3 linked regions of the Schizosaccharomyces pombe genome follow. Changing the gene in region 1 together with any one later gene gives a genetic interaction. Each region holds a gene or a part of one and is shown in the gene's direction. Other genes may lie near its edges. The genes, in order: SPOM_SPBC215.11C, ksg1 and xap5.

What was found.
Region 2: mutations in SPOM_SPBC215.11C (region 1) and ksg1 together harm fitness more than expected from each alone (negative genetic interaction), as found in Schizosaccharomyces pombe (one large-scale study listed by BioGRID).
Region 3: mutations in SPOM_SPBC215.11C (region 1) and xap5 together harm fitness more than expected from each alone (negative genetic interaction), as found in Schizosaccharomyces pombe (one large-scale study listed by BioGRID).

What each region holds. Positions count from the first base shown.
Region 1 is NC_003423.3:4,047,685-4,054,841, reverse strand, and holds SPOM_SPBC215.11C (aldo/keto reductase family protein), read left to right. Parts: upstream 1-3,400; 5' UTR 3,401-3,459; coding exon 3,460-4,380; 3' UTR 4,381-4,482; downstream 4,483-7,157. Other genes in the region: GTPase Cwf10, read right to left, coding at 1-1,362, 1,422-1,773, 1,812-2,171, 2,216-2,241; odr1 (haloacid dehalogenase-like hydrolase ), read right to left, coding at 4,755-5,663.
Region 2 is NC_003421.2:2,101,621-2,109,893, reverse strand, and holds ksg1 (serine/threonine protein kinase Ksg1), read left to right. Parts: upstream 1-3,603; 5' UTR 3,604-3,635; coding exon 3,636-4,208; intron 4,209-4,317; coding exon 4,318-5,523; 3' UTR 5,524-5,956; downstream 5,957-8,273. Other genes in the region: diphthine synthase Dph5, read right to left, coding at 6,080-6,309, 6,358-6,489, 6,533-6,762, 7,048-7,307; Swr1 complex subunit Swc5, read right to left, coding at 7,494-8,141; FANCM-MHF complex subunit Mhf2 , read left to right, coding at 8,151-8,273. UniProt on the Schizosaccharomyces pombe protein: Involved in the control of sexual development and cell growth under stressed conditions. Phosphorylates AGC kinase gad8 at 'Thr-387', activating gad8 kinase activity and promoting sexual development.
Region 3 is NC_003421.2:751,505-758,842, forward strand, and holds xap5 (splicing factor, xap-5-like protein), read left to right. Parts: upstream 1-3,747; 5' UTR 3,748-3,752; coding exon 3,753-3,901; exon of another isoform or gene 3,902-3,964; coding exon 3,965-4,682; 3' UTR 4,683-4,786; downstream 4,787-7,338. Other genes in the region: SPOM_SPCC1020.13C (DDHD family phospholipase), read left to right, coding at 970-1,176, 1,221-1,785, 1,849-2,589, 2,631-3,127; protein Emc6, read left to right, coding at 5,861-5,920, 6,002-6,257, 6,347-6,357.

The sequences.
Region 1 (7,157 bases):
TGTGATACGATTTTTTTTATTTGGAGTATCTGAAAAACACTTGATACTTGATGTGTCCACCGCAGTCTCACAGAAACGAGCAACTGGATCGGAAACTCTGATTTCGATTTCAGAGTATAAAGTCCGAAGATCATAAAGTAGACAATCCATATACATCTCACCAGTACCGAAAATAGTATGTTCCCCAGATTCTTCTACTTTTGTGATAGATAGTGGGTAGCTTTTGTTTGTTTTTCGTAGGCCATCAAGTAGTTTTGGTAATTCTGATGGATTGTGTGGCTCTACAGCCACCTTGAAAACACTCTCGGACATGTGAGCAATTGGCCTGAAAATGTAAGGATCATCTTTCAAATTGTCCGAAACGATGGTTGCTGTTTTGCTAATAGAGTTATCAACACCTCCTAAAAGAACTAGCATGCCGGCAACAGCTCCATCAACGTGAAGACGATATCGTGCGCAAGGTACACATATTTCAGCAATATGAGCAACCACCATATCCTCTTCGTCTTCTAAAGAATAATTTTCTCCAAGAACTTTAACTTTCTGACCCTTTTTAACCTGACCACTATATACACGAGCAAATGCATAAAAATTATTAGCATCGACGGTGTTGTAAAGTTTAGTAACATGCATGACTAATGGTGCTGATTCCTCACGACTCATTTCTAAGATAGCCTTGCCGATACTAGAGTTTATAGGCCCAATATATGATTGAGAGGCTTTACGAGCGGCATTTTCTCGAGGCGATGGAATATGTCTAGTAACTGCATTCACAAAACCAACGGGGAATCCAAAAAACGATGCGCAAATTAGTTGCAAGAGTGGTTTAGGATCTAATAAATAATCCTTGGGTTTTAAATAAATTTGGAAAGAAGATAAGTGTTTTTTGAGTTTTTCGGCTTCGTCAGAAATAGTAAGGGTATGTAATTTATACAACGGTTCTAATATGAAATGGACAAAGCTTCTAACGCCAGAGCCATCCAAGGACTGTTTGGCAAATTTTCTGGTTTTCGAATCGAAATAAATATCCCCCCACAATCTTTTAGAAAATAAGTCCACGTCGATACCTCCATGTCTATCTATATAGAGTTTTGCGAAACTAGACAATGTAAAACAATATCCAAGATCACATGAAGCAAAACAAACGTTCCCTAACTCAGGAGAAACGCGATATTTCAAATCTTTACTAATCTGGCAAATGTTATCGTTTACTTCGTCGATAACGTGTCGAAGTTTATGGTAAGCATCATTCGGAGGGAGACGTAGCTCAAGGATTAACCTATCAACTTTGTTCAAGACGAGCACAATTGGCATATCGTGAAGAATCGCATGTTTGATAATTCTAGTGGTGTTAATCATCACCTAAAGCATGTTAGAATCTTTATATCTTCAAAACGCAAGAAAAGGCCAGAATAACTTACACCTTCAATAACATCAACGACTAATACAACACCATCACTTATGGCCATAGGAGCAGCGACTTCATCAACAAAATCGACATGACCAGGCGTATCGATGCACTGAAATGCAAACGTCTTACCCTTCATATCAGAAACTGCGAGCGTAAGTGGAGTACTTTTTATAGACATCACACGTTCTCTTTCAAGATAATGAGTGTCGGTATATCGAAGTGAACGCCTTTTTGGCGGCTTGGTGTCAGGATGGGTATAATAAACGAGTAAATCTAATAAAGCGCTTTTGCCGTGATGCAGATGGCCAGCAACAATAAAAGATCTAACGTCATCTGTCCCAGTTAAGAGACCGAAGAGGAACCTTAAAAAGTTAGAAAAGACATTGTTACACATACTTACTCTTTCTTGTATACAGTATCTGGGACGTTTGTTGTTTCTATAGCAATCCTTTTGTGACGAATTGGCTCAATAATGGGCTGGCTTAAGGGTTGAGTATCCTGTTCCTGAACCATGATATCCACGTTGGACCCATATACCTCTTCAGCGCTAGGATAATATTGTTTATCCTCGTGAAGAACAACGGCATTCTGAGGCTCTAGATGACTCAACGCCATTTCCTCGGCCCTTTCAACGTCTTCTAATTCTTCATCAGGAATGACCTCTTCAAAGGATGGTACCTGTGCAATTGTAGGGCTAGGAGCCTGAGGAAACAGCTCCTCTTCATCTTCTTCATTTTCAGGGCCTATGTAATTTCCAAACCTGGCGAGTTAGAAATAACTATAAAATGTTTTTAGACCACTTACTCATCATATAAATCCTCTTCCATCATCAGTTACTGCCAAGTACCCACAATGCACAACTTTTGGTAATTACCAAATTTGAAGTAAAGTGTAACCAAGTTTTCGAGCTTTAGCGCATTCATGTCTCAACTGCGATTTATATCTCGTTAAGCTTTGATAATGAGCTAGAGAAATCATTGTCTTTATACTCTCTAAACGAGATATGATCGGCTCAGTAACTTCCACTACACTCTTTAAGGTTGCCGAAGAACGACATCGTCTCATTTTGATAGAAAGGAATGAATCGTAATTATTGAAAACCAAATATACTTTTTTATTTACCAACTTCCTCCTTAAAAGTCGTACATGGGTGTAATTGAGACCTTAAAAGACTGGTTATGTCTACGATTTGAGCTACCGACCCATGTTTAGCAGCCAAATTTATAAGCTTTTCGAAGACAATAGTAAGAGTAAATAGCCATTGTAAAAGTGCGGTGCAAACATTTTTAGAGCGCAAGTTTTGCAACTGTACAAAGTATTTAGTGTGTTTATAAAACACACAACAAATTGCTGAATGTCAATAACACTAATAATATACTGGCATCATCAACTAAATTCAAAAAATGTGTTTCCTTTCAAATACAGTCCTAGAATTGTTATTATGTGCAATGTTTACCTCGATTTACGGAACTGGTCAACCCATTTGTGGTCTCCAAATGATAACTCGTAGTACGATTTGATAGCACGATCAAGCATAATTCAAGAAGATGGAAAATATAAATCCACATTATCTTGAATAGAAAGAAACATAGCAATAAAGATCATTATCGTTATGTGCGACCATCGTTGCTCATGAATAAAAATGGGCTGGCAAAAGAAGACAGAGATACAGTTTAGACAATTCATCCAGCATCAGATTTTGGAACCATAAAATTATCATTAAATTGAATAAGAGCCAAATCAAAAAGGACTTAGCTATTTACTCTAATTCAAAATCCAACCAGCAATATCGTACTATAATAGTATTAGTCATCGTTATGACAATATATTGTCTAACGCGCTCTTACATCATACCACTGGATTCTGTAAATAGGGTATGTAATAAATCAGTTTTCGTGGTTTAAGATAGTCCGCATCAATCCAGCTTATGTAAGGAATACACCATGTAAAATTACTATAAAAGGAAACGGCGTCTGACATCCCACACTTACCGGATCCACTATAGTACTTGATCTTGATTTCTAAGAAAAGCGACAAAAGACACAAAAATGAGTAAAACTGCAGCTTCTTCCGCCGTAGATGCTTCACAAGCTGGGACTGTCAAGGTTGGCGACATGGTTGTCAATAGAATGGGATTCGGAGCAATGAGAGTTACCGGTGATGGTATATGGGATGAACCCAAAGACAAAGAGGCTTGCATCGCAACTTTAAAACGTTTGCCTGAACTCAATATTAACTTTATTGATACCGCCGATTCTTACGGCCCTGAGGTCAGCGAGAATCTTTTACGAGAAGCTTTATACCCTTACAAAGGACTTATAATTGCTACCAAGGGTGGCCTTGTTCGTACAGGTCCAAATGAATGGCATCCTTGTGGAGCACCCAAATTTTTACGTCAAGAAGTACTTATGAGCATGCGTCGACTTGGAGTTAAGCAAATTGACCTCTGGCAACTACATCGCATCGATCCCAAGGTTCCTCGCAAAGACCAATTTTCTGAAATTGCAGCTATGAAGAAAGAAGGATTGATTCGCCATGTTGGATTGAGTGAGGTTACAGTAGACGATATCAAAGAAGCTGAACAGTATTTTCCGGTAGTTAGTGTTCAGAACTTATTCAACCTTGTCAATCGTAAGAATGAGAAAGTGTTAGAATATTGTGAACAGAAGGGAATTGCGTTTATTCCTTGGTATCCCTTAGCTTCAGGAGCATTAGCCAAACCCGGAACCATCCTGGACGCTGTTTCAAAAGACCTTGATCGTTCCACTAGTCAAATAGCTTTGAGTTGGGTTTTACAACGCAGTCCGGTTATGCTACCTATTCCTGGTACTAGCAAAGTAGATCATCTCGAAGAAAACGTCAAGGCCGCTGGAATCCAATTATCTTCTGAGGTGTTTGCCAAATTGGATGAGGAGGGTAAAAGCGAAGATGCTAAGCGTCAAGAAGAGGAGAAGAAAAAGTCTTCTTAGATTTCTCTTTTTCTTTCTATGGAAACTTACTAATGCCACGATGTTTGGAATTTCCATATGTTGATAATGTTATAAAATGATCTCATGATTAAATTAAAAGCATCTTTTTGTATTGATTTTTCATATTCCTCGTAAGGTCTACAAGGCACTGTTTAAGAGAAAGCAGTTTTTAACATGCTAAAGTAAAAATACACGGCATTCACAGAAAAATAGTTATACCCGCGGCTACGTAAATAAAGAAGTTTACGAATGCTTATATATAATATGTATTGTAATTTTCGTTATTTTGATATTTATTATTGTATGGGAATTAGATATTGAATTTTTTTTGTTATAATTTAAACAGGAAAAAGATACTATATAGGTTGTTAAATTTAATTAAAATCAGGAGGGATATTATAAATTCGTTCCAACACTTCACCAACGGCACCTTCAGCACTTGAAACGTCGGAAATTGCCTTGGCTGCCTTTAAGGCGACAGGCATTCCACTACGAATGGCTACGGAATAGCCTGCCAATTCAAACATGCAAACATCATTTGCTCCGTCACCAAAAGCTAGGACGTTTTCCAAGCTAATGGATGGATAAATCTTTGAAAGAATATTCTTGAGCGCAACCCCTTTGTTATCATTGGGAGGAATTATTTCAAAAGTCTGGGGAAGCGCTTGGGTAAGAGCAACTTCATCCGAAGGAATGCCAGCCAGTCGCTTTTTGGCTTCTTCAAGGCCGTTAGTATCATCATCAAAAACTACCATTTTATTGAAGATGTCTTTCGGGCCCTTAAGCTGAGGGAGCATTTCATTGGCGTCGTCCTTTACTGTTTCCCCACAGAGTCGCAAAAACTTAATACCATGTTGTTTTTTATCCGATTCCTGTTTAATTTGGTAAACGTAATCTTCATCGTAACCGAAAAGTGCACACGTTTGGATGTCTTTGAGCTTATCAATAATATCGATGGCTAAAGAGTTTTTAAGAGCTGCGCAAGCAACGATTTCACCTTTATCGTAAACTACGCAGCCGTTAAGGTGAACACAAGGAAAGACATGTAAACCTAACGCTTCTCTGATATTACCTACGGATGTTCGCTGTCTACCAGTAGCTAACACAAAAGGTAGCTGAGGATAATTTTCACGAAGATACTTTAAAGCACGAAGGTTTCGCGGATGTGGCTTATGATCCGGTCCCAGCAAAGTACCATCAACATCACAGATAATGAGTTGAATATCCTCCGGTTTAGGTAAGACGTTTTTCTTTTGATTAATGTCAATTTCTTTAGACGGCATCTTTCTTTTTTGTATGAGATTTTTAATCAAAACACTGTTAACGTCCAATTTACCTGTCTATGATAAACAATTGATCAATTTATTTAAAAATCAAAGTAACTGTTTTCACAAATACCCACAATGATCTATCGTATTTGTATTTATAGCCCGAAAGATGACACAGATACAATATAACTTGCTGACTAATATTGCTGTATTGAAGAAGCGTACCTGTCGTTCACAGCTGAGGTGATCCCTTTGGTTTGTGAATACAAAGGTTGTGGGGTGTTTAAATAACTTTAAGTAGCATTCCCCACTTTTGGGATGACAAAAGCATGTTGAATGCCGGACCTTCGGTAGTCAAGATCTCGATCCCACTCCGGCGCGTTATTAAAACAGAAAGAGATATTGTACGGCAAGACGAGTATGGAGGGTTTGTAAAATGAAGGGTATGCGTTTGTAGTGAGAAGGAAAGAAGAGCAAACAGCTGTTTGAATAAACATGTAAACAAAAAATGCAAAAAATTATTTAGACAACAAGTTAACGCTAGCTTTGTTCAAAAAAAGATGGAGAGATTATTTAATTTTCCTTTCTTTATTTTCTTTGAAATTTTTTCATTAGGATTTTTATTATACATTTTTCTGCTACGTGAAATTCTGTAGCTCAAACTGTGGGAAGTTCTTTGACATTAGTACAACTATACTTTTGGGACCTTGAGCCCAGAGCAGTTGCCTTTCGCTACACTTACAGTTTCACCAGAACAGAGACTACACAGGAACTAATTCACCGTCGTATAGACATTGTAAGACTCCTTATTAAACTTCTAACTAGCGATGTCCTTATGTAGAAATTAATTATGAGCTGGAAATGAGCTGGAAAAATAAAAGTAAACAAAGAAAAAGGTAATAATATTTAGTTGGATCTATCAATTTATCAAGTTGTCATATTTAATCATTAAATTTTATTTTAATACTAAAATTCATTAACTCAAACTTATATAGAAAGCAAAGAATAGCTTTCTTTTTATTTTTTTTGTTTACCATTTCGAATAAATCTCTTCTCAGTTGGCTTCGTATTTCAACCGTGGCCTTTTAATTGCTTGATTAATCCTTTTATGCTTTTTTTCAATAATAATAATTTTTTAGGCTCAACAAATTTTGATCTGTGAATTTTTCAGCGTATTAATTTTCCATGTTAGAAGATTTTTATTCTACCACCGTAACAATTGTCTCAATTCCTTAAACTGCAAATATGTTTTAATTCTCAAAAACCTTTAGAAATCTTCACACTTGTAAATTAAGTAGGAAACAACATCATTAGCAAATAGCATTAGTCCATTCATCAATTGATTTGTTCGATAGAATTGCATATTACTACCTCATAAACCGCTATTTTACCTTAATTGTGCTTACAGTTGTGTCCAGCAATTACGCTTTACACAAATTATGTGAGCTACGCAGTTTCGTATTCGTTTTAACGATATGTAAAACTGCGGTGAGTTTTCCTTGTCGTCTA
Region 2 (8,273 bases), on another chromosome or scaffold:
AAGTAACTGTAATTTTTTTGGCACAATGTATAAAGGTGACTGTAATTTCCTTGGCACAATGTGTAAAGGTGATTGCGGTCGGCTTGTATAACTCAAAAAAAGATTTAGTGGTTACAATCTGGTTCGCATGGGTAGTCATTTGTTTTATACTCTTTGGTTGCGTCAAGGATGGTAGACTAAACTTAAATAAGGCACTCATCTGTTCCACATGCAGTATTTCGGCTGCTTTATTTTTCATTTTATTGCTTGGTAAGTGAAATTATCTTGCTAAACGCTAACATACAGTTTGTATTCCAATTTGGACACTTTGCCGTGCATTATCTGGGATGCTACAAGTGTTGGGTATACATGGCATTATCGCACTATTAGTAAACGGTTCAATGTCTTTATTTGGTAAATATTTCGGATGGAGAGGCTACGAAATCGAAGGGTTTGTGCTCTTTTTCTTTACGAAATGGGTTCGTTATATATTCCTGTAATTTACTCTAACCATATCAGAACGTCCAGGTGTACTCAAGAGGATGCGCAACACTACTGGGAATGTTATAGGTTTTATATTAGGTATGTGTATTCAAAAAAACTCTATGAATTATTTTTTACTTACCTGATTAGAAGGTATAGGAAATGCAAGTGGGCGGATAGGAAATGCGATTAGAGGTGCCAACGATAATAATGACATTCCCTTGGGGGAAATGGAAGTTGAAAGCGAAGTATAATTGCGTTATTAATGTAGTTGTCGCTACAGTTGGAAAACCTCTTTACGAAAATCATCAACGCAGAGAAGCTGCGGCGTTTTTTTAAAAATAAGCACCAACATTCTTTAATCATCCTCTTCCTTTATAAGTTTATGGAATATATGCTTAACTTATTCTTCCAGTTATCAAAAATTGCCAACCAATGCATTCTACGATGTTGGATAATGTGCATTGAGGACCGAAGTCTTTATTTATTATGTATGCGAGTCTAATTATGTGTCTTTTTTAATGGTACTCAAGTCACAAACAATAATGGTTTAACTTGTTTACGACAACTTAAAATCAACTAATGAAATCGAAAAACTCGTTGTTCCGCCTTGTTAAATTTACAAATTCATTGTCGTTTATTGCATTCATTTCTCCTTCATCTTGATTCTTAATGAATCAAGCTTAATTATCATTTTTTCTTTTTGTTTAATGGTTCAATTCAAACAAAATTAATGTTTACAAAATAATGAATAGCATAATAAAATATTCAGAACGATGGTTTGTTATAGTAATAACATGTGTCAGGAATACTGCACTACGATATGGCACACTACGTTGCGTATCACTATATGTCACATGTTTTATTTACACATCATATCATCTATGATACAACGTTAAAAAAGACCTCGTTGATAGTTTACTAAAGCGCGTGTTATTGTAGTATATAGATACGGCTCCTATTGAGGCTTAGTCCTCAGTTTAACTTTAAGCTACCTTTAGTGGATAGGTAACAGGATAACTCATTTATAAGAATACTTACATAAAAGAACTCGTTAATCTGCATCTATAATATAATAGATTACAGGTAAGAATTAATGCAATTTACGTATCGTTAAAGTAGATAATAAAGTGTGTAGCTGACAGTAAAACCGCACAACGACACTTCTTTCATTTCCTATGCTTTAAACAGCGTTATCGTTAGGAAACCGTATTTGTACCACTTGCTTCTTTAAAAGTGACCTGGTTGAAAGGAAGACTATATACATAAAGAGAATCGAAATCCGAAAGGGATATATCATTATATATTTGAAAATTTTGAAAAGTTGCTTTAAGGATAAAGACCATAAATATTGAATTAATGACTGCTTAAGCGAACTTTAAATAAGGTTGATATAACCGAATGCTGTAATTAAAAACATTCGAAACATCCTCATTTATTTACGATTTCGAATTCTCTAGTTTTCATCATTTGAAAATATCCTTTTGTTACAGTTGGACTACTTTTATTTACTCGATCTTTTTGATAGTTTAATTATGACTTGCGACTTATGATACCAAATTTAGATTCTTTTTGTGTGTTACACGAATATTATTATGTTTCAAGGTCAGTGGCTTAACAAAAACAAAATTGCAATTTGGAAACGAAAACAACCAATTTCCAGTCTTTCACAATAAGTGTAAAATGCGCTACCTTCACAATTTCACATGGTTTAATCTTCTGACAAATGGAGTTTATATATTTCATATCCGTCCAGGCGAATGAAAATGAATATGAAAAATTTTTGAAAATTAAATCATCTAAGTTAATCGTTGTATTATAGGAATATGATTTATTACATCACAACTTAAAAATTAGATACTAAATATTTTGGTATACATGCCTTCCAAAAATATAATATTTTAAATAAACAGAGGGGGCTGATAGTAAAATGTCATTATTATTAAATTTTTTTAATTTTTTCTGAATTTGCTAATTTATGTTTGTGAACGTCTTGTTTCTTTAATTCCAGTTATAATTTTATATTTTCTTTGTTTTTCACCCAGATAATACTCAATAAACAAATTTTTTTTTGTAAAACTTCATTATCATTCTTTATTTTACTAACTAATTTTTTAAAAAGGATATTGACGGACAAAAAACTCATTTAATGTACTATATCGTAATTACTTCATTTTCTCTCACGCATATACCCCAGAAAAAAAAGGCTCAAAAATTGATTTATAGAATAGTTAAAATAAAGATGGTATCCTTCAGTTAAATCTTGCGTTGGTTGTCCTTTAATGAAGATTTGTTCGTAAGCAAAATATATGAATTCGCTAGCAAGATATTGGCATTCATACCAACCCTTTTCTTTATGTTATATCTCCAAAATGAATTGTTTACAACACTAAATTGAAACAAATCAAACACACTTTGTTCCTATTAGGTGTAGTGGAAAATGCAATTCTAAACAATGGCACTTTATTTTTGATTCTGTGCTGAACAAATAATTCATATTTATAAACTGAATGGTGCATAATTTTCTCTCTCTGTAAAATTGATACGGTAAGTTGAAATTCAAGTAAAATATGTTTCCCGCATATTCAGCTACGATTCTGGTATAAAAGCTTCTAATGCTCTTCGTATATAAACTGAGTTATTCATTAAAACCTAAGTGATCTTTTAAGTTATTGAAATTAAATCATATTGAATTCCACACCCGAAGGTAATGCTATTCAACCAGCCAAGACGAAAATACTTGGTTTGACAATTTTTTTACTTTTATGTAATGATTTTCTCTACTCCATTAAGAATTTGCGTATGACTGTGTATACTCAGCGCTGATTCACATAGTAATATAAATCATTACCTTGATGAACTACTTCTCTAGGCTCCTTAAAAAAATAAATAAACTTATAGTTACTAAAAAAAGCATGATCTAAATCAAATGAATGAATATTTAGTTTATCTAAAATGTCCATGCAATATTAATTTTCGCACTCACAACGATGCAAATCATAACCCGGATAGCAAAATCTTATATAACAATAGTACAATAGTTGTATACTTGCAGTTATAAGCACTAATTTTACCGAATATGTGCAATTTTCTTTTGATGACATTGCCGTCAATTCGTAGTTTACTGACACTGATTCACCTACCCAGTACTCTCTTCACACCAGATATTGGTTATGCGAAATACGCACAATCCGAATGAAACTGAAGCATCAGAAGATGCAGAAAATGATACTCAAAGCGAATCCGACCTTAGTTTTGATCATGGATCAAGTGAAAAACTAAACCGAGCTTCATTACCAAAGACGCAAAATAGTGCCATCCCGCAGTCTAATGCTTTAAATACTACACCAAATGAGTCAACGTCTCAGATCGATTCATCGCCGAAGATTCCCTCTGCAGTCCCACATATCTCTACTCCAAATCCGTCTAGCGGTGCATCGACTCCTAACATAAAACGAGTTTCGGATTTTAAATTTGGCGAAATCCTTGGAGAAGGATCATACAGTACTGTATTAACAGCTACCGAAAACTCAACAAAAAGAGAATATGCTATTAAGGTGTTGGATAAAAGACATATTATCAAGGAAAAAAAGGAAAAATACGTCAACATTGAAAAAGAAGCTTTGTGCATCCTCTCTAAGCATCCTGGATTTATTAAGCTATTTTATACTTTCCAAGATGCTCACAATTTGTATTTTGTTTTGAGTCTTGCTCGAAATGGTGAACTGTTGGATTATATCAATAAGGTATGTATAAATAATGTTCATGCAGCTTGATGATGGATAGCTTACTGATTATTACAATCTTGTCTTTTTTCTTATTAAATGTTTTATTTTTTGCTTACACATAATTTAGTTGGGACGATTTAACGAAATATGTGCACAATATTATGCTGCACTTATCGTTGACTCAATAGACTATATGCATGGACGAGGAGTGATTCACCGTGACTTGAAGCCCGAAAATATTTTGCTGGATGATAATATGCGTACAAAAATTACCGACTTTGGTTCAGCAAAAATATTAAACTCTTCACATGGCAGTCATGAAGAAGACACACACCATGCTGACAAACCACAGGCTCATTCTCGATCGTTTGTAGGAACTGCTCGTTATGTATCTCCTGAAGTTTTAAGTGATAAAATTGCTGGTACGGCTTCCGATATTTGGGCGTTTGGTTGCATTCTTTTCCAAATGCTAGCTGGCAAACCCCCTTTTGTAGCAGGAAATGAATATTTGACATTCCAAAGTATTCTTCATTTGAGTTATGAGATACCACCTGACATATCAGATGTCGCTTCTGATTTGATTAAAAAACTGCTAGTTCTAGATCCTAAAGATCGCTTAACTGTTGATGAAATACACCAGCATCCGTTTTTTAATGGTATCAAATTTGATAATACCCTTTGGGAACTTCCTCCTCCCCGTCTTAAACCTTTTGGTCATACTAGCGTCCTCAGCCTTTCCGTTCCTAATGCATCTAACAAACACGAAAATGGTGATTTGACCTCGCCTCTTGGTGTTCCATCGATGGTTTCAGCATCCACCAATGCTGCACCCTCTCCGGTTGGTACTTTTAACCGAGGCACTCTATTGCCGTGTCAATCCAACCTTGAGGAGGAAAACAAGGAATGGTCGAGTATTCTTCAAGACGATGAAAAAATCTCAAAAATTGGAACCCTCAATGTTTATAGTATGTCTGGTATCAATGGAAATGATGCCTTTCGCTTTTTCTCCAGTCTTTTTCGAAAAAGGAAACCTCGGACCTTTATACTTACAAATTTTGGTCGATACCTGTGTGTTGCCTCGGACGGTGAAGGGCGAAAAACAGTTAAAGAAGAAATACCTATTAAGAGTGTAGGCATGCGTTGTCGGATGGTAAAAAACAATGAACATGGCTGGGTAGTTGAGACTCCAACAAAATCCTGGTCGTTTGAAGACCCGAATGGACCGGCTTCTGCTTGGGTTGAGCTTCTAGATAAGGCTAGCTCTATTTCTCTTCCATTCGGTAATCATTCTGTTACCAGCTTTTCAAGAAGCATTGCTAGAAGTGCTGTCTAATCTATCCTTTATGTCTATGAACACTTCCATCCATCCCCTCACTTTTTATTCTATCACTCTTTTTTCTGTTCTGTTCTGCATTAATTTTCTTACGACCTTATTGATGTTTCAAGAAATTCTTTTTAAGTTTTTCTCTTACGTTCGTTGTTTAATTCGAAAAAAAATCTTTATATCCGTGATCCTTCAGTGTGATTACAAAATTAGATTGCCGTATGATTTCTGTATTTTGTTATTAACGGTCAATTGATTTTATTTGCTTATTCTTATTATGGATCTATTTATTTTATATTTTTTACCTTAGCCTTAAAATGTTAAAATGGTAAAAGTTATCGATCCAAGAACATTTCACCGTTTACTAGTTAATATACCTCTACCTACGTAGTAAAAAAATTTAAAGAAATTATTCCCAAAAGCCAGTTGTACATTCTCTCAATTTATGATTAATCTACAGATTAAGTTAATTATGCAAGTATGACTTGTACATAAAAATTAGGTTTCGCTTAATATCAGAAAAAAAAACTTCAAGCATCAATTTACTAGTATGATAAATAATGAATTACTTCTCCAAGTATGTTTTTGCGACACGATCAAAGTTCTCGAGATTGACTGCGTACGCACGTAGAAATTCTAATTCTAAATCGTGAACATCTCTACCGACGAGAACCACGCTGTGCAATGGAGGACCTATATCATGCTCAGCTAACTCTTGCAATGTGCCTGCAAATATAACTTGATCATCGGAACCCATTCTTCCAACAGCCACACATAAAGAGTCTGGTGTGCATACTAAGGGTGGTTAACAATTAATAGAAAAACATTTTAAAATGAACGTACTATTTTCTTGACGATCCTCTTCGACTTCCAACATCTGCTGAGCAGCCAAACTAGCAGACATATAGCGAGGAGGTTCGTATACTTTCCTGCCTCGAGCAAGATTTTCCCAGCTTTGCTCCTTTACCTTGATATCTTTTATTGTCAGAACACCAACTACTATAATCTATTAACTTACCCAGCAAAACTAAGGTATGAAGTCCCAAACTAACGTTCTCTTTAATGTGGTCATAGAAACTTTGAGGACGGTAATTGTTTTCGAAGAAGACAAGACTGACTGTTTGACCAAACTTGTAGAGTTGTAAACCACATGCACCAATAGCGTTCATAATGGAGGCATTGTGTATCATGCGAACAGGAATCTTAAGCTCACGAGCTCTTATAACTAGATCAGCATGAGTGGTAGCTCTAAACAATTAGTAATACAATAAAAAATAAACGATTATTAAAAGCACGGGTTCTCAAATTAAAGAGTCATTAGTATTCACTACAATTAAATCTTTACAGATCATAGGGTTCGATGACAAACTGAATGTTCTTTAAAGAGACAATTCGCAAAAACCAAAGCTTTTTTAATAACTGAGAGATGCTGTCGTAAGGGCTAAAAGCCTGTAATAAACAGCTGAGTCAAATTTCTCAAAGTAAATAAAAAAAAGATAAATAAAAGGAACATGTACTTTCAAGTAAACATACCCCATCGGATCACCAACAACAAGCATTGCAACATCACAATTGTCAGCGTCTTTCAAGATTTCATCACTACTGCTCTCTACCATTTCACGATCAGCAAGGATAACCTCTTTACCATAAAGTTCTTCTAATTTTTCCTTCTGAACGAGCAAAATGGACGTATATGCCTCAAGATATATACGCTGACATTTTTTTACTGTTTCTAGGCCTCTTAAGGTAATATCCTTTTCATCAAATAATCCTAATCCAATTAAATAAAACATTTAAATAATATCTGGATATTTTCAAATGAAGTTTTAGAAAGACAACGACTTCCTGGCTTGGAGGAGGTGAAGTAGTTGAAGAAACGCAAAATCGACATGGACTCGTTCAATGCTGCCGGCTGGTGTCTTAGACAAAAGGGGTTCTTCATTAAAAAAAATACTAGTTTTAAGTTTTAAACCATTTTGTTACGGCAACTTTTTCATCTCTCGAATTTTTTCTTCATGTGCAGCACGGGTTTTTGCTAAGAATTCCTGGCGCTCGACATAACCATCTTTATTGGCGATCCGAAGCTCATCTTGAATATCCTGTTCCTTAATATACTTTGACCAATTTTGCTGTGCTTGTTCAAGAGTGTTTAGCTTGTTTTTCTTTAAAACCTTTTGGGCTGACGAGCTATCAAGTGGAGATTTACGGCGTTTCCTTATCAATGAGTGTTTCTTCTTAGGTGTTTCAGCATAGGAATTTTCATCCCCTTCTACGGCAACTGAGGAATTCGATTCTGCAAGTTCATTAGTCTTCAGTTCCACTTCGGTTGTAGACTGTACCGGTTTCTCAATTGCCTCGGATTCATTTGATTGTTGAGGGATTAATTTATCATTTCTTTCTCTTTTATTTTTTTTTGCTATATTTTTAAGAGTAACATCTTCAGATTCACTGGTTGCAATTTTTGATTTAGTACTTTGAACTTGCGAGGCTTCTTTTTCCTCTACGAACTCCTCCTCACTTGAATCAGCATCAGAAAACGACGACTCCGTATCCGTACTGTCACCTGGGACAAATTCCGTATCCTCCTCCTCTTGTTCAAGGCCGAAATCAATTAATTTCTCTGTCATTGAAGTGTAATGGAGCAGGAAAGCGAACTGCTGTCCCTCAATACGTTGGCACGCATTCTGACCTTGTATTTCAGTTCAGAAAAGGGAACCAAAATTACTCCAAGTGCTTTAGAATTAATTACTCAATACTTA
Region 3 (7,338 bases), on another chromosome or scaffold:
GTTATCTTTTGGATATACGAACTAGAGAAAGCATCTCTAAATTTTTAGACAAAGTGATACTGCTAGCCGAAAAATAATGAAAGGTTGTTTTTCACGTTTATGTTTGTAATTAATGCGTACTAATCAAATCACATTTTCCTAATGTTTAGATGTGAGATTGGGGTTTTTGTAGGAATATATATTATTTTCTTAATTCATATTTATTTTTTTAATAATTGGCTTCACTTTGACTAAGCGTCATAAAAGAGATGGTATTTTCAACCGATAGAATAAAAGAGTTGTTTAAATGGGAATATACATCGCTAGATCTTTTCCAGTATATTTTTTACAAAGTGCAAAACTATCTTCAAAGTAATATGAAAACATATAAGTGATAAGGCGTATTGCAAGGATTACAATTATTTTTGGACATTTACACCTATGAATTTGGGTAAATCTATGTATGAATCAAACAAACTATAGACAGCAGAGATAAAGGCTCTATAAATGCACCCACGTTTACTCCTATTAATCTTATAAAATTTTAGCACAGAATTAATTGTGTAAAGTGATAATTAAGGCAGGATTGAAAGTTGCGTTTCGACAAAAAAAAATATATATTTATATATAAGTGTGTATAACTCGTAAACCAAGAATGTTAGATGCGATCACCTTTATCCATTATATATAAATTTGATTTCACAAAAACTCATATCATATTGTAAACAATTAAATAAACACGGTAAGCATCTTTACAAGTTCACAAAAATCGTTAAATTGACTTAAGCTTTGTAATATATTTTTGTCGTTTCTACTTTTAGGAGAAACATACTGAAACTGACAGAACTCTTTAAGGAGCTTCAAAATTTTTGCGAATCTCGTTTTATCAAAATCGGTTGATTCTGCAATTTTGATTTAAGTGGTACGCTATTCTTTGTAGAACTGTTTACATTTTGATCAAACAGAACGCGACCCCCAACACCGAGATATATGCAAGAATCATCCCAGGAGGAGCCTGTGCACTATGTTCAGTGGTTTTACCTATCCAATTACGACCTCTACGATGAGACTTCTTCTATGGAGTTGACTGGGGCGCAGTCCTGGAGGCGGTTTTTGAACTACGATAATAACGCTTTAGAAGCAAAATACAATGAAATTATTACAGAGGAGGTGTCTCAAGAGCCAAATCAGAAGAATGTAACTAATTTTTTAATCTATATGTGAGCTTAACTAACGAGCAGGTCATTGTTGGAATTTCTGGGCTTCATGTGGTAAACTTACCTACTCTTACTTTAAAGCCTCTATACTGGCCAAGTGCCAGTAAAAATGATACCTTACGAGTCGTTCGCGGTCTTTGGATGTACGAAGATACGGGTCTTCCTGTAATCAATGAATTGTCGGATATGTTAGAAGAGGGCTACCAGGAAGTGAAGCCATACGCCGTTAACTGGGATAATGTTTTAAAAGAAGAAGAAGAAGGGAAGGATTCTCAAGATGATCCTTCTGTATTGTCTCATAAACGTAACAAGTCCTCTAAGGAATTAATTGATGCGATGCAATGGCCTCTTAAACCTACCTCCTCTGGCAAATATGTATTTTACGAAGACGGATATAGAGCACTCATTTGTCAAGGAGGTTTGTTATCCTATTTTTCAAAAGGGACTCAATCTCGAAGGACCAGTATTAAAGGTATGCCGGTCGTTCGAGATTTTCCTTACTTTGAAGATGATGGTTTTAATGGACCTAAACAAGTTACAGATCTTTTTTTGGTGGTTCATGGTATCGGTCAAAAAAGATCAGAGACTGGTAAGTAAACTTGATTTTTTTTTATCTTACACCGGCATTCAATTACTAATGTTGACAATATAGAGGAACGATTCTTATTTACCAAGACGTGCAACGTTTTTCGTTCATTGATCCAAATTCAGAAAAACATAATGAAAGAGGATCCGTTGATTCGAAACGATTATGAACCACAACTTCTTCCGATATGTTGGAGAAATAAGCTTAATTTTAATTCATATATAAAGCCAGTTGCCGGTGATGAAGGACGGGTTGAGGATGAAGAATTTGAAGAAAATCGATTTTCAATTGAGGATATTGAAATTGATAGCATTCCAGCGGTGCGAAGGTTATTAGGAGATGTGATGAGTGATATTCCCTATTATATGTCTCATCACAAAGAATCCATTATAAAGTCTGTAATTCGTGAAGCTAATAGGGTTTACCATTTGTGGAAGGACTGCAATCCTTACTTTTTAGAAAACAAGGGCCGTATCTTTATAATTGGGCATTCTTTGGGCTCCACAGTTGTTTTTGATATTTTGTCACTTCAACCCACTTTTGTCAAAGAAATTACTATAGACGATGATGAAAGCTGCTTTATATTCGACACAAACGGTTTTTTTTGTTTTGGTGGTCCGGTAGGTTTTTTTTTGCATTTGAATCAACAAAGTATTATTCCTCGTCGTGGAAGAGGCTCATCAAGATACGAAATAAATAAAAACTTTATAAATTCTGATGTTCCAAAGTCATATACTTACGATGGTTATGATCGGTACGGATGTCTCGCAGTCGACTCTTTTTATAACATCTATAATCACCTTGATCGTAAGCGCATCATTAAATTATCGTATTTACTAACAAATTAGCCGTTGCGATGCGATTAAATCCCACAGTGGATCTCTCATTTTCGAAAGGCATCCACCCAACTCGTATACTGTTCACAAGAAAATCTTCAAGTATTTTGAGAATGATCTCACATTCTAATACTGATCCTGTGGAACTTCGAAGTTACAATCAATCTTTGCAGCAAAATAAAAACAATGAGCCCACAGCAGTGGTCCCACTGGAGCCTGAACAGACTGTCGAGTTAGAGACTCGCAATTTTCGCAGAGAAGAAAGGGCCAAGTGGCGCATGCAAGAGTTGAATGAAAACTCTCAGTTGGACTACGTATTTACGAGTGCCCATGGGGTCATTTCAAACAAATATCTTTCTATGCTTTCGGCTCATAGCAGTTACTGGAGTAGTGAGGATCTTGCTTGCTTTTTAGTAGTGGAAACTGGCCGAAACTTTGGTATTGCCAATTCAATTGAGCAATTTCGTGGAAAGCATATGCCACGTATATTCAAAGGGGACAGCTCTTGAAAATTTTCTTTTTATTTTATCTGACAGTATACCAGCGAGCTTCATATTTATTAGCGATGCGAAGTGGACAAATTAAAATGAATTTGATGAACATTGGATAATGATGATTTTTTAGGATCACTTTAATGACTTTATATATTGGCATTCGAAAGATGGTTTTGCATTCAATGACCAGATACGAAAATTTATTAGAGTATTTATAGCAACACTAGTGATTAGCTAGTTTTTTTTTTGTTTTTAATCTATTGCTATTTTTCCAAAGCTTGTTAATACAAACGAGTAATTCGTTTTATTTGTCTCTAGATTGGTTTTAAAAAGTGTCTATACAAGCAGTTAAAGATTACAGAATGCTTCAAAGTGCCCCACCTCGTTGTTATTCTATTTAATAACCGTTTTGACAAATATAAAAAACTTATATGCAACGTGACTTTGGCAAAGTGTGCGTTTATTCTAGGATCCCTCATAGGTAAATGTAAAAAACATGTTCTTCTTCTACGATAAATATAGTAATAGTCATTTCTTTCATTTTGAGATTTGAAAACCGAGGCAAAAAAAGGGTATTTTGGGTATTCAAGCTTATTTGGAAGAACGCTCACCACTCACGTTTTTTTGAATTCTTCATACAATGAGCGGCCATACTGATGCCGATGAAATTCATGAGATTTTACGAAATAGTACGACTGGTTTAGTCCATTTAAAGGATTATCAAAGAGTAAAACAAAACATCGTTGAAAAACGAGAGAAACATGCGCTATCAACCACAAGTACTAAAATGTAAGTGAAAAGAACGAGAAAAGCCCGATAGTATTCTAAATATGACTGACAATTCAATTTTAGAAAAAAGAGAAAAGATGCTTTAAGCAAAAAGGTCAAACAGGGCATTAAAGTTAACAAAGGAAAACTTTCTTTTGGTGAAGATGAAGAACTGGAGAATGATGATCTACCTTTAAAAAAAGTTGAGAAAAAAATGTTTATGGGAAAGGATCCATCTGCGGATACCTCCTTTTTGCCAGATGCAGAGCGAGAAATACGTGAAAACGCGAAGCGAGCCGAATATCGCAAACAATGGCTAAAAGAGCAGGAGCAAATTCGGGAAAAAGAGATTTTGATACCATTTATCTATTACGATGGAACAAGTACCACTTATCATGTAAGGACTAGATTGAAAGATTCGGTTGGACACTTTCTTGCTGATATGAAACAGCAAATCCCATTTTTGAAGAGGATTCTGGATATGGATAAATTTTTACTGGTTCAATCTGATTTAATCATTCCCCATCACCATGAGCTTTACTACTTTTACATTAATAAAGTTCAAGGACGTGATGGACTTTTATTTGACTTTGATAAGCTGTCATGCTCTAGTCCAGAAATGGTTGCAACTACACAACTTCCTTCTCAATGCATTCCTCATCTAGTTCAAAAATCATATTATTTACAAAATCGCCATGTGTTTCCATGTGTGCATTGGGAAGTCTTTGATTCTCGAAAAGATTATTCATTGGAAAAGCATGCAACTGATCCTAACGCTGCATTATTTTACCGGCCCTCATAATGCCTTTTAAAAAGTTTTCGATTTTTTTTCTCTTGGTTCTTTATTTTTGTTTTGCATACTCATACTTCCCTCATCGACTAATTTAATAACAATTTCATTACAACTATATTGTTTTTATGTTTGTATTTTAAACAAATGAATTGCGCCAAACATATAACTTGATAAGCTATACAAAGAGAGAGACTTTGGTAAAAAAGAAACAGATATTATCCACTAAGTATTCGCAATGGGTTTTAGTATTTACACTTACTACTCTCAACATCACTCCAACCTTGACTGAAAACCTTGATTTCATTGATGTGCTATAGGATATTGTAAAATAAAGTAATTAAAAAATTAGCAATTCGCTTTTGGAATTATTAAATGTTTCCTTTATTATTGAATTCTCATATTTCTGCTTGTTTTTATTTAATGTATCGCAGCGTTGGTATGCAAATACATAGTATTTGATCATAAACATATTAACGATACGTTAATTTGCGGTGGATTATACTGTGCTATTTAGGTATACAATTTTTGGTAAAGAAAAAAGTGATCGTGACTGAATGATGAGAATAACTATTCTATTGTAAATAAGAAATGAAATTCGCTTTTCGTTCTCTTGGAAGTATAAGCATGTCGCTTTTACGAATGTTCACGAGTCTCTAATCCTTTCGGTATACTGTAAACAATCTAGTATGTAACGTTTCATCCACCATTTTCAAGTTTTAGAATTAGAAAACCAGTAATACAGGAAATATAAGATGATACTTTTTTCTAAAACAAATAAATATGAAAAATCGACCTTGATGTAAAACGAGAACCTCTTTTAAACAATGCGATTTCCCAATATCCTAGTAATTAGCCCATTTCTGTTCAAAAAAATCAAATGGAAAAAAATAAAGTACTCAATTGTATTGAATAAACTATTTCACCCTCCAAACTAGCCAACATTCAGCCCAAGCAAAAAGTAATGCTTTTTCCCATATCCATATCGCTTGTAGCTTTACATGAAAGATTGGCAATTACGCAGTTTGCAAAATGCTTTTAAGGATACGTCAAGCTGCGAAAAAATTACGTTCCTACTAAGTCCTTATGTAGTTAATACCGCAGTATAAAGATGCGTTATCCATCATTTTTTGGTTATAATTCTACAAGCGGTGAACTCAACTAAACATCAGAATTGTTCATAAGCTAATATGGAAAGGGATAAAGGCGTCGCTCCAATTGTTGTAGAAAATGTTGCATATAATGAACAGGTAAGAAATGATTGCAGAGCTAGATTTTCTTGGTACTAGTTTTTTTAAGGATTTTATAATTGAGTGCTAATGAATCCAAAGGTCGTTTCTTTTGTTCGAAACTTGACTTCTAGTTTTTTCGGGTGCGCAGCTGGTATTTTGGGTTTAACTTCATATGAAGGGCTTGCTCTGTATGTACTCGGTTACTTCTTCGTCTCCTTTCTACTCTTTGCATTGAAAATGCGTGGTAACTTAACTAAGTATTACCAGCCCGGATATAAGTTTTGGATCGCTAAAATATTAGATGGCGCACCTTCTTATGTTTTAACTTGGACATTGTTCTACAGTTTAGTATATGGTAAGAAACTTGCTCGATCGTTGCTATTTTATTTTGTTTGAATAGTCAGATCTCGCATTGAAACAATTACACGCTAACTAAGTCATTAGTTTATGAGTAATGTGTTTAATTTGATTTATGCATTTGGCAATTAATCCAAGATGAACCCTCCTTATTCTTGTTCAGCCCTTTCGTTAATAACACATATACCTCATTAAGATCTATTGTTTGAGAAAAAAGTGGATCTCTTCCTTTTGTTCGTGAACCCATCCTATAAATATTTTGTATTTCCTAATAAAACACAAATCTAACTGTTTTTTTACATTTCTTTACTTTTCCTATAGAAAATAGGATATTTGTTTAAAATATATTTGTCCTGTCAGCGATGCTAGAACATAGCACACACATTCCGTTGTATTCATGTCGTCTTCCTTAAATTTGATTTCGAAAACTTTGCATGAGATATGTTCTACTTCTTTAAGAAATTGTCTCTAGTGCTTAAAAACTAGCTGCTTCAGGGCACATGGATGCCTAGGCATTTATTTTTTGAACACGTGTTTTACCATTATTATACAGTTGAAGTAAACACTGCATATATTCAATATTTGCAACAACTTTGACAACGGTTGAAAAGGACAAAATATCATATTCAAACACGATCTTTGAAAATTTTGAGACTAATGAATTGTATTGTATTATCTAAACTTACTAAAAAATGAAAACCAAATTCAAAGATGCGACAATTTTACATTTATTTTCAAAATTGTAGAGATATTTTTAATCTACCACAGTAGATTTCCCCTATTTACCATATAAATAACTCATAAACAAGCTAACCTCACAAAGACAATAATAATAATATAATAACCAAAGAAAGAAAAAAAAAATCACCAACAATCATAAAGTTGAGCTGATAAAAAAGGGACTGACTATTAAATAGAGGAGATTATAGTAAGAAATTGAAATGTCCCTAATAATCAAAGAATAAAGTATTTTTTAACATAAAAAAAGTCTGAAAAGAAAACTAAGTTACACCGTCAACGATTAAGAGATTAGCTCATTAACAAGCCACCACATTATTCATTTTTTGGTATCGTTTAAC